3 linked regions of the Saccharomyces cerevisiae S288C genome follow. The gene in region 3 interacts genetically with the main gene of each other region. Each region holds a gene or a part of one and is shown on either strand. Other genes may lie near its edges.

Region 1 (4,049 bases), on a different chromosome or scaffold from region 3:
TTCTTTTTTTTCAAAAATTCGATGAACTGATTCCAAGCCTGAAATTAGTACACAAATTTCCAGAGGCTTATCCCACTGTTCAGGTTGATAGAGGTGCTATTAAATTCGTTCTCTCAGGTGCTAATATCATGTGCCCTGGCCTAACTTCTGCGGGTGCCGACTTACCACCTGCTCCTGGTTACGAGAAAGGTACGATTGTAGTCATCAATGCCGAAAATAAAGAGAATGCATTGGCTATTGGTGAATTGATGATGGGTACTGAAGAAATTAAATCAGTGAACAAAGGTCATTCCATAGAATTGATTCACCATTTGGGCGACCCCTTATGGAACTTCAGCGTTGAGTAACAAACGGAGCCGTCAACACTATATTACTATCCATCTGCTACATAATAAAATAAAGAAACTAAGAAAAAATTAGAATAACATCCGCTTACAATCTAAAAGGCTGTTTCCTGATTTTTAAATATGCAACTAGCCAAGATTAACTATATACTGTGATTACGATGGGCTGTTAACCTTCTGAATGCTCTTGTTATTTACTGGAGACGAAACATGAATAATATCTCCGTTCACAACATTAAAATCTGAAATGGGGCGAAAATTATACTTTATTTCGTTTATCATCCCTTCAGAATTTTCATGAAATAACTTAACATTCAGTATGTCAAAGTTTAGCTTTCGACATATTACACTCTTAACGTACCTTACTGTAAAACTGGGAAGGACCCAATAATCTAAATCACTACTCGGCTTCTTGCCAGCTCTTATCTTTATTTTTAAGACAAGAGATTGCCGTGTTTCTCTTTCATTGTTGAAACTTAGCTTACTCATATCGATTTCATACGACTTTATGAGGCTTGACCAACGCGGCAGATTGGTGTCATAGCTCAATTCGTTATTCATTACCTTGGAAACAAAAAACATCTCAGCCTCTCTTCTTGTTTTTACATCACATATTGATCCATTCAATACCATCACACGATCAAACCTAGCCAGTACTTCATAAAAAGTAGCCTGTTCTTCGACGTTAATATAATTTCCGTTGTAGTTGAATTCGTTGCCACTCAGATGGATATTTTTCAAAGAGGGAAATGTCTTATTCAAATCATCTATCAAACTTCTTTCCTTAAATTTGTTATCTGTTATATCCAAGGATTCAACAGAATAAATAGCAATACTTGGTGCTCTAGAAATTTGATTATTGGAGACATTTAAACCTTTCAATGTCAAATTTTTTGGAAACAATGGAAACGATATAAGATTATTTCCGCTAATATTCAGTTCCTCCAAAGTACACGGTATTTCATTCTCAAAATTTTGGATTCCCGCACTGGTCAAGTTGTTATAGCTTAAATCCAACATTTTCAGTGTCCTGAAGCTTTTGAGCAGCTTACCAATATGTTTATAACTTAAACCACAGGAAGACAGACGTAAAGTTTTGATGTGTGATAGGTCATATTCTTTCAAGTTGTCCCAACCGCTTAAAAGTTTATTTTGAGATATATTAAGGCTCTCCAAGTTCTTCAAAGGTTCTATGAACTCACATAAAGAGTTGATATTCGTGAATAGATTAAGCGATAAATCAAGGTCCTTGACGTTCACACAATTTTGTATTACACGGTTTAACTCATCTTGATTTTGAAACAATATAGCGACATCGGAATCTCGCAAAGCTATTTTTCTTAACTTCTTATAATTCTTATTTCTCGCATTTAGTTCATCGAATCCCAAACCCTCAACCCTTTTGTTACCTATAGATAGGTCATTAATGTTATTACTCGAGCCTCCATACTTTTCTGACAATGCTTCGTAAAACGTAATTCTGCGTACACCTGGAGATTTAATCTTAGACTCCTTCAAAAATGATCCTGAATTAGGAATTTGAACGTCAAAATAGTGTATGTCATCTATTGTTCCAGAATGTTTTCCCCGGCTGTGATCGTCCCATTCCACCCCATAAGCTTTTACCGAAGGCCACGGCTTAATAACACCTATGAATTTGATGGTGCAAAAATATCCACCAATCTTGAGTCTGTCCCCAATTTCATAAGTCATGCTATCTCTGAAATTCGTTTTGCATTTTATATTTTGTATATCTTATATATGAAACATAATAAAAGTTGGAACTTTTTAATGATTTCTTTGTCCAAAGAGCAAAAAGGCAGTAAAACTAAAAAAAATAAGATGTATAGTAATGAGTTTAAAAGCACACCTATAATTTACAGTAATGTTATTTGATGATAAAGAAAAAATAAGAAACACCCCTTACATAAAAATAGCCTTACATATGACTTATTTATTCCATCATTGTATCTTGATCTTTGCTAGCATCTATGGCCTTGTCAAGAGAGCTAAATAATCCATCCAAATCAAATTCTTTGGACCACTCGGATACAATGGTGGATTCATTTGCTGCAATTGGAGCTTGTTTAGTGCCAGTGTTTATAGTACTTAGATTTTGTTTATCTTGTTGAGATGCAGCTGCCGATGTATTTGGTAAAACCCAACCAAGAATTTTACCATCCCTCCAGTCATTAAGTACCGAAAGACCAGCACTGGCAAGATTTGGAATACCGCCTTTCCCTAATCTACCTCTTTTACGAGCGACGTGAATTAAGAAATGTTTTGTAAACGTATCTGCATCATTAGCAGGAATAGGAGGAATTTCATACAGCTTTTTAAAGCTCTCTGTCATTTCATCTGATTTAGCTAGTCTCTTTACCAACATTAAGACAGCTGGATACGGATCAACAATGTGTTTTGCCGGTAGAGCATTTAGAAGAGCTAATTCAGCTTCATGTTCAACTTTCGATCTTTTCTTATTTTCGCTTGGGAAACATATACCAGGAGAATCTAGAATCTTCAACTTGTTGTCGATTTTGATCTCTCTCAGAGAGGTAGTAACACCTGCTTCATTACCGACTGGGCAAGCCTTTGATTGACCTCCACGGCGCGCCAAAAGAGCGTTGATAACAGATGATTTACCAACATTTGGATAACCGATAACACCCACTACAATAGATCTCTTCAAATTGCTGTTATTAGAGTAAGTTTTCAGCGACTCTAGCAGTGCACTTGCAGTAGTGGTTTGGCTTAGCTTTCTGTTGAAAGAAGTTCCGTTGACTGCACCAGAAGAAGCTCTTAATGGGATTGTAGGAAAACTAGACTTTAAGTAATTTAACCATTGTTCCAATACATGTGGGGGAATTAAATCAACTTTGTTCAGTATTAAAATCAGCCTTTTACCCTGACTTTGTAAGACGGCTTCTTCCACCTTTCTTGATCTTGTACTCTCTGGATCTCTGGCATCCAAAACATATAGGATGACATCAGAAGCATCAATAACGGATTTGAAAATCTTGTCATAAGCTTTCCTAGATTTTTCAAGTTCTGACTCGCCTTCTACATCTTCACCGTAGAAATCAATGTTATAATCAATGACGTCCAATTCATCATCACGAACATCTGCATCATTAGAGGGTGTGCCCTCATATTCAGCAGCTGCTTGCTGAGCAGACTCAACCAAAGCTGCTAATCCATTTTCATCGTCTTCTATCATGTCTTCATCCATTGCATCAACGCCTTGTTCCTTGGCAGCTTTCCTAGCCTCCAATCGTTGTTGTTTGGCAAGCTCTCTTTCCTCTAAGTCCTTCATTTTTTTGGCTTCTATTTCTTCTAAGATCTTAGCCTTATAAGGAAAGTTAGAAGGAATACCAGGGTCTTTCTTAGACCTTGATCTCCAAGTAACGTCCTTCTTAGCCATCTTCTTTTCCTTTTTTCTATGGGCAGAAGCCTTCTTCTTAATACCTTCCTTCAACTTGGTAGATGTTCTTCTAGATTGGCGCTTTCTGACTCTCATTTTATGATATTATAGTCGTGACTGTATACCTATATGCTTGTTCTTGTGTGTACCAAAGTATTACTAGTACAATTCCCTCTTGATATAATTAGCTCATCTCATCGCCTCGCTCGAAAATTTTCAGCAGCTGTGAGAAAAAAATTTCAAAAAAAAAACAGAAGCGACGTTTAGAGTGACGTGAATCACTG
Region 2 (4,092 bases), on a different chromosome or scaffold from region 3:
ACCAGGAGTTGAATGCCAGCAATTTGATACATGTGTAAATGTCAGAAACAAAAAGGGCGAGTTTTAATCCATTCCACCCAACTACACCTATTATGTAATTTAAAACAGTTTTGAACTTGTGGTTTCGAAATAATTCAATGTTTAAATCGGCGAAAGTCTTAGAATTAATGGAGTACTTCCAATCATGGTTAAACATTTTTGATTTTCTGTTCCTGCTAGTCAAATATTCATGAAATTACCAAAGTGTTTGCTAAACAAACCATAAAGATCTGTTTTAATAATCATCAAGGGCTCTTTTGTTTGAAATGTTAATGTGTCCCTCATGGTCTATTTTCATTTGAAACATCTATTCGAATTTTCTGCAACATTTCTTTTTCTGTCAGACGCGAAATGTCGGCGAAAAGTTGACACGATTCAAGGTTCTATCTAATTTTGGAATGTAAGAGAAATGAATGTACTCAAGATAACGGTAAAGAAACAGTTATAAGAAGGCTAAAGGGCTAATCTTTTGTCGAATTGATTACCATGTTCCTGATTTCATACATATAGGATTTTCTCTTGCTATTGACCGTACTTTCATCCATGATTGTTTCCTCATCAACACTGATAATGGTCTCATCTCGGGGTATAAACCATGAGGCTAACTTTTTACACCACCTGTTCTCCTCGTGGTAAAATTTTTCCAATGCTCTTGAACTCAAATGGAAAGTAGAGCTTATTTCTGGAGTTTCTGTTGTACCGTTAAGTGTCCTCATTGAATGGTATTTACGGAGTCTTGCTTGAGCAGCCGTACTTTGATAAACGCCATCATTGTCATTTGAAACAAATGGCGTATTAACTTGGCTTTTGGAACGCAAAAATGGTGAGGAGCTACGTTTTTTCATACTTTTGCCAACTGGTGGTAAGTTTATCTCAGGAATGCCTGCAAAAGGGTCTGCTTCTTCCTCTGAAACACTAACCCATCTTAAATTTTGTTCATCTAAAATCATGTTCCCGATGACCTTTTGATTTCTCGAAGTGGCTCTTGCATGCTGTAGATCAGAATATTTTTGCTTCTTAGAATCTGCATCTCGTTGTAGCTTGTTTTTTATCAATAAAGCTTTCCTGTTTGCCGTGTCTACATCACTAAATTTGCTTAAGACGTTTTCATTTCCTTCCCACTTCATAGTTTTCGGGTTATATATCATAGAACCTTTCTTCATTGGAGTATTATGATCAATTTGCTGTTTTATTGTTTTGATTTTAGCTGGACCATTGAGTTGTACATTTTGATTAGAACAGTGTCTTACTGATCGTTTTTCTTTAAAAGAGTCCAGTTCCTGCTGGGTATTCCAATCTCGTTGTCGCCTATGAAGACCTGGAGTTAATAATTCGTCATGCTTTACTATATCATATTGTGCAGGTGATATTTTTAATGGCAAAGATGAGGATGACTTCTTTAAGAAACGCGGATGGTCGGCACTTTCTTTATCGTTCGAAGAAATCGTTTCATCAATTGCTTCACCCTCTAATTCTTCAAATCCTGTCAGAAAGTCACCTTCATCATCTGAACTGAATTTCGCCAAAATTGTGTCCTGCGTATCGTTATCAATCTTGTAATTAAACTCTCGTTGATCTTCTCTTTCTCGTTCTTCGTCCTCTTCTTCTTCTCTGATAGCTGGATTAACTAAAGCTAAGTTAGGCATAGATTTCTTAAATCTTACAGAATTACCAGACCTTAAGTTTCTTGAAGTGACGCTATTTGATAGTTTTCTTTTTGGTTTCAATTCCATCATTGATCTAGGTTGCTTTAGCCTTGGTTTATCTTCCAAACTCAGTTTTCTATCAAACTCTTCTGCGAAAATGTCGTTTTTGAAAGGGCCAGTTCGACATCCATTTCTCAAATGAAAATTTGTTTTAATAGCATCGTCAAAATCATCCTTTTTATTTTGGAATTCCTGGAAGTCATTTAGAAATTCATCATCCTGGTCTACCTCCATGTCCTGATCATCGTCTGCTTGCTTATTAGACCAAAACGCGCTGGTACTATTGGAAAATACCGTGCCAGTGTCAGAAGTACCTACCGAGGATGGAGGCGGTATATAAGTTGATGTACTCAATGGTGGCACGTTTTCTTCCAAAGTTAATGTTTCATGGGATTGAAAGCGAGGTAGAGTTGTATTCAGTTCTTCAAAAGAGGTTTCTGGCTCATCTAAACCGTTTAACGTGAGAGGCCTAATTGACATAGCATACAAAACTTTCAACTGCTACAAAAGTTTTCGAACTTTTTTCTTTACGTCAAACTTCTCGTTTTTTTCCTTTTATCTGCGCTGAATACATAAGTTTACACTTTTTTTTTTACTATTATTGTTTGTTTATTATTCGCGAGATGCCATAAAATCCCTTCAATAGAAAATAAAGGCAACATTTGACGATCTGAGTATAATAGGAATAAAAACATTAGTCAATTTTCCGTTTTCTATCTAATACACGTTTTATATGTCTTTATTTTATTATATACTGTCACTCTGTCTCCCTATCAACGTAAGTCCAGGCCTCATTGTGGCCTTTTCAGTAACCAAATTGTCTCCGAAAACATCAATTACAGTTAAATTCGGATTTTGCTCACCCAACATTTGAATCACCGAGTCATCAACACAACGTACAAAACCAAGATCAAGATACGTCAGATTAGGACAGGCTAACGCCACAAATGCCTCCTTAGTTAGCTCTTTTAATGAATTGAGATTTAAGCTTCTCAGACTATCTCTTGCTCCGTTAAGCAATAGCTCTATAATTGCCATATCGCCCAATTGTAGACATCTTCTAAAGCTGCATTCAATCAAATTATTCAGTTCTACTTTGCTGAAAAAGTACGACAGTGAATCTGTAGTGATCTGATCTGATTCTTCCAAGCTCAATACCTCCAATGGACATTTCTCAGGAATGAATGCAGTCAGACCATTGATTATCATTGAATCTGTCAAGTCAATACAGCCATTCAAAACCAATTTACGTAACGTGCGCCCGATTTGACCTAGCAGATTTATGATGATCTCATCGTTAACATCCTCTTCATTGAATGGATATTCAATACAGAGACTGTGAAATTCGTCGTTGACTAGGTACTGCGGTAATAAAGCGTAATTTGATATAGAATCTAGTCTGGATAACCCTAAGGATACCAAGGTAGAACCGCAGTTGATCAATAAATTAGATAATGATTTGTCGGTGAAGCGGTGCGTATTAGAAATGTGGAACTCTTCTAATCTACCTTTCATTATTACAAAGAACTTCTCCCATGTGTCCTCGTTGATCAGAAATGGTCCATCTAAATTCAGTGATTTCAAGTTCGGAAGCTTTTCAGCAATGTAAAGCAATGATTCATGGTTCAACTGCCCACACATTTGTAGGGATAATTCGGTTAGGTGTGGCGAAAAAATGGCTAGCGTTTTGTAACCATCAAATGAAATTTTAGAACAATCGCTGAAAGTTAACCTTTTTAGATCTGTCTTCAAGAAAAGTTGCAGAGTATGATCATTCAGGGCCCTATTCTTCGATAGTGCTTTTGCCAAATTATTCAAATTAGCGGTTGATACGCCACCAAGGACATCTCTCAATTTGTTAAATACCAACTTTGATGATTCATCAGCCTCTTTTTGCCACTTGGATATATTTTCACTAATTTTCGTAATACAAAGACTTTGTAAGCTGGATACTTTGTTGACGCGTCTATCCAATAGGTCAGCTGCTCTTTTACGCTTTCTGCGACGATTTTGGATAATTTTTGCAGTATTTTGCCTTTTTTTAGTCAATGATTCCCGGTCATTAGCCGAACTTAAACTGACTGGCGTGTCAGAAATGTGGCTAGTTTCATATTCTTCTTCATCACTATCAGCAGGGACTAATTTCATCCTGGCATCGTAGGAAACCTGAGCTCTTTCTGTCTCGGTACCACTACCTGTTCCAATTTCATCAATTTCTTCATCTTCAACTACTCGAGATATCTCGGCAGTAAAGCTATCATCCTCCGCTTTACCTTTTTTTTCGTCTGTTGCATCTTCTTGCTTCTTCGACTGTCGCTGGTACCATTTTTGTTTGATATTTTCAGCA
Region 3 (3,641 bases):
CTTTATGGACACAATTTTATCTTGCGAGAATTTTTGTTTTACCATGAATTGATTGGAGAAAACACCGTTCTCTTCCACAACAACACGCTCCTTTGGTACATTCAATTGTTCAACCAAGTGTTCGGCTGTTTTAGCATCTTGGCTAGCAATGAACAGAGAAGAAACTCCGTTGTTCAAGAAGGCAATGATTTCATCATCGCTGAATTTACCACTTGGCAAGGACAAAGCCACCAATGGAACTTCTTCCTCTTTGGAGAACTGGAGAATCTCTTCATTACTCAGGCTCGAGCCATCCAAAAGTACCTGACCAACAAGTGAAACGTATTCCTTCTTACTATTCCATGAGGCCAGATCATCAATTAACGGTAGAATCGGCAAAACCATTATTCAGAAAAAAAATTTTGTAAACTATTGTATTACTATTACACAGCGCAGTTGTGCTATGATATTTTTATGTATGTACAACACACATCGGAGGTGAATATAACGTTCCATATCTATTATATACACAGTATACTACTGTTCATAGTCATATCCTTTTCTTACCTTCTATATCGAATGACTGATAAAAAAACGTGAGTCACTGTGCATGGGTTTAGCAATTAATTAACTAATTTACCGGAGTCACTATTAGAGTCAGTTCGACTGCCTAGAAGAACTGCTGGTTGTCAGGATTGTGATGGGGGCATTCTGCTGTATTATGACCCATCGTATCGCAATGCTCACACCACTGTTGTCTTCCTGCCGTGGTATCGACTGGTGCAGGGGGGTCGAAAATTGGCAACGATTCCACGGCTGTTTGTGCTTGAGCCTGTTCCAACTGTTTGATTTTTTCATTAGCCTCTTCAAGTTTTTTCGTTAAGGATGCCACCTCTTCCGATGAGGAATCTTGTGGTTTTGTCAAAAATAGTTCCTTGCTCAAATTTTGGTATTCTTTACTGAGCGAATCGTTATGCATTTTCAATTGTTCGCGTTCTTTAGCCCACTTTGTCTTGTGTAACTCAAATTGGTCTTCTATGTTGCGTAATTGTTCCAGCTGTTTTTTCAGGAGTTCGACATCTTCGTTGGCACCAGTGGGTTGATTATGAGAAAGATTTCTCTCTTCGTTTTCTTTGATCTCTTCGTGTAGTTGGCTTACGACAGCAAGTAGCTGTTCATTCTCAGCGTCAAAAAACTGCTTTTGTTTGGCTTGCTGTCTGCGTTCGAGCTCCAATTGTTGCTTGAGATGGTCTATCTCTTTCTCTCTTTCTTGTATTGTGGCTTCATACCTATCAAAAGTCGGTTGCACTTCTTCGAGGACCATTCTTTGGTCATCGAGTAGCCTTTTGTAGTGTAGTTGTTTCCTTTGTAGCTTTTCGATGGTCAATTGGGCTTCTCGTAATTCAATTGTAACTTCGCTGCTATTGAGGTCATTCATGTGGCCATTGTCCGGTTTCCAATCGCTGGTGGTGTTGTGATTAGCCTTTCTGTCTGATGACAGGATAGAGTCGACCTCCATTCTGTCTTCTCTGTTATCGTAACCAAATTCTTGCTGTTGATGGTGATCCGATGCCTCCTGGTCCATCGACTGTTGATTACCGCTGTGCCGACTGGTGATCCGGAAACTTCTCATGGGTGTGGGGGATTTAGGATCATCCATGGGAGAGAACTGGTTAGTGAGCCTCACAATAGATCTGTTTTTGGGTATTGATAGCGGTTCCATTGTCGTTCTTCTCGAGGTTTGCGATATCGATGCCTTCTCGATCAATGATGCGACTTTTTGCAACTGAATAAATAGTCCACTTTGAGGATACTCCGTTTGAAAATACTTCTTCCCCATGAATGATCCATCGTTCTTACCAATGTTGGCAAGTAAGTCTACACCAGCAAACATTCCAGCTTTCGTGTCCACTGGACCCACGTATTTCAGTTGTCCGCGCCCCAAATTTGGGATTTGTATGAAACATCCTATCTTTCTTTGATATCTATCCATGGTATTTCAAACGCATACACAGCCAGCCACAGCTCAACGCCTTTTACCTTGTCCTTTGATGCCTGTCTCGTCCAAACGTTTTTGGTGTCTTGGCCAATTGCCCTTCTGAAAAATCTCACTGTCCGCAACTCATTAAAAGATACCCAAGCAAGCTACACGATAAAGAAAGGAGAAAGTTCATTAAAAGAACGTACATATAGCGATACAAACGTATAGCAAAGATCTGAAATGGATACGGATAAGTTAATCTCAGAGGCTGAGTCTCATTTTTCTCAAGGAAACCATGCAGAAGCTGTTGCGAAGTTGACATCCGCAGCTCAGTCGAACCCCAATGACGAGCAAATGTCAACTATTGAATCATTAATTCAAAAAATCGCAGGATACGTCATGGACAACCGTAGTGGTGGTAGTGACGCCTCGCAAGATCGTGCTGCTGGTGGTGGTTCATCTTTTATGAACACTTTAATGGCAGACTCTAAGGGTTCTTCCCAAACGCAACTAGGAAAACTAGCTTTGTTAGCCACAGTGATGACACACTCATCAAATAAAGGTTCTTCTAACAGAGGGTTTGACGTAGGGACTGTCATGTCAATGCTAAGTGGTTCTGGCGGCGGGAGCCAAAGTATGGGTGCTTCCGGCCTGGCTGCCTTGGCTTCTCAATTCTTTAAGTCAGGTAACAATTCCCAAGGTCAGGGACAAGGTCAAGGTCAAGGTCAAGGTCAAGGACAAGGTCAAGGTCAAGGTTCTTTTACTGCTTTGGCGTCTTTGGCTTCATCTTTCATGAATTCCAACAACAATAATCAGCAAGGTCAAAATCAAAGCTCCGGTGGTTCCTCCTTTGGAGCACTGGCTTCTATGGCAAGCTCTTTTATGCATTCCAATAATAATCAGAACTCCAACAATAGTCAACAGGGCTATAACCAATCCTATCAAAACGGTAACCAAAATAGTCAAGGTTACAATAATCAACAGTACCAAGGTGGCAACGGTGGTTACCAACAACAACAGGGACAATCTGGTGGTGCTTTTTCCTCATTGGCCTCCATGGCTCAATCTTACTTAGGTGGTGGACAAACTCAATCCAACCAACAGCAATACAATCAACAAGGCCAAAACAACCAGCAGCAATACCAGCAACAAGGCCAAAACTATCAGCATCAACAACAGGGTCAGCAGCAGCAACAAGGCCACTCCAGTTCATTCTCAGCTTTGGCTTCCATGGCAAGTTCCTACCTGGGCAATAACTCCAATTCAAATTCGAGTTATGGGGGCCAGCAACAGGCTAATGAGTATGGTAGACCGCAACAGAATGGTCAACAGCAATCCAATGAGTACGGAAGACCGCAATACGGCGGAAACCAGAACTCCAATGGACAGCACGAATCCTTCAATTTTTCTGGCAACTTTTCTCAACAGAACAATAACGGCAACCAGAACCGCTACTGAACGATGATTCAGTTCGCCTTCTATCCTTTGTTTACGTATTTGTTTATATATATAACTTTATTTTTTTTTATTAATTGGGCTGCAAGACAATTTTGTTGTCAGTGATGCCTCAATCCTTCTTTTGCTTCCATATTTACCATGTGGACCCTTTCAAAACAGAGTTGTATCTCTGCAGGATGCCCTTTTTGACGTATTGAATGGCATAATTGCACTGTCACTTTTC

What was found. Genes that interact genetically often act in the same process or in processes that back each other up.
Region 1: mutations in BIK1 (region 3) and PAC2 together harm fitness more than expected from each alone (negative genetic interaction), as found in Saccharomyces cerevisiae (3 studies listed by BioGRID, with this or other methods).
Region 2: mutations in BIK1 (region 3) and BFA1 together harm fitness more than expected from each alone (negative genetic interaction), as found in Saccharomyces cerevisiae (4 studies listed by BioGRID, with this or other methods).

Annotation. Positions count from the first base shown.
Region 1 is NC_001137.3:162,535-166,583, reverse strand, and holds PAC2 (Pac2p), read right to left. Parts: upstream 2,058-4,049; coding exon 501-2,057; downstream 1-500. Other genes in the region: TMA20 (translation machinery-associated protein 20), read left to right, coding at 1-347; RNA-binding GTPase NUG1, read right to left, coding at 2,299-3,861. UniProt on the Saccharomyces cerevisiae protein: Required for viability in the absence of the kinesin-related CIN8 mitotic motor. Seems to be involved in the assembly of alpha-tubulin.
Region 2 is NC_001142.9:532,160-536,251, reverse strand, and holds BFA1 (Bfa1p), read right to left. Parts: upstream 2,226-4,092; coding exon 501-2,225; downstream 1-500. Other genes in the region: KCH1 (Kch1p), read right to left, coding at 1-196; UV-damaged DNA-binding protein RAD7, read right to left, coding at 2,493-4,092. UniProt on the Saccharomyces cerevisiae protein: Part of a checkpoint which monitors spindle integrity and prevents premature exit from mitosis. This cell-cycle arrest depends upon inhibition of the G-protein TEM1 by the BFA1/BUB2 complex.
Region 3 is NC_001135.5:67,950-71,590, forward strand, and holds BIK1 (Bik1p), read right to left. Parts: upstream 1,973-3,641; coding exon 650-1,972; downstream 1-649. Other genes in the region: HIS4 (trifunctional histidinol dehydrogenase/phosphoribosyl-AMP cyclohydrolase/phosphoribosyl-ATP diphosphatase), read right to left, coding at 1-384; prion domain-containing protein RNQ1, read left to right, coding at 2,201-3,418. UniProt on the Saccharomyces cerevisiae protein: Required for nuclear fusion, chromosome disjunction, and nuclear segregation during mitosis. Probably required for the formation or stabilization of microtubules during mitosis and for spindle pole body fusion during conjugation.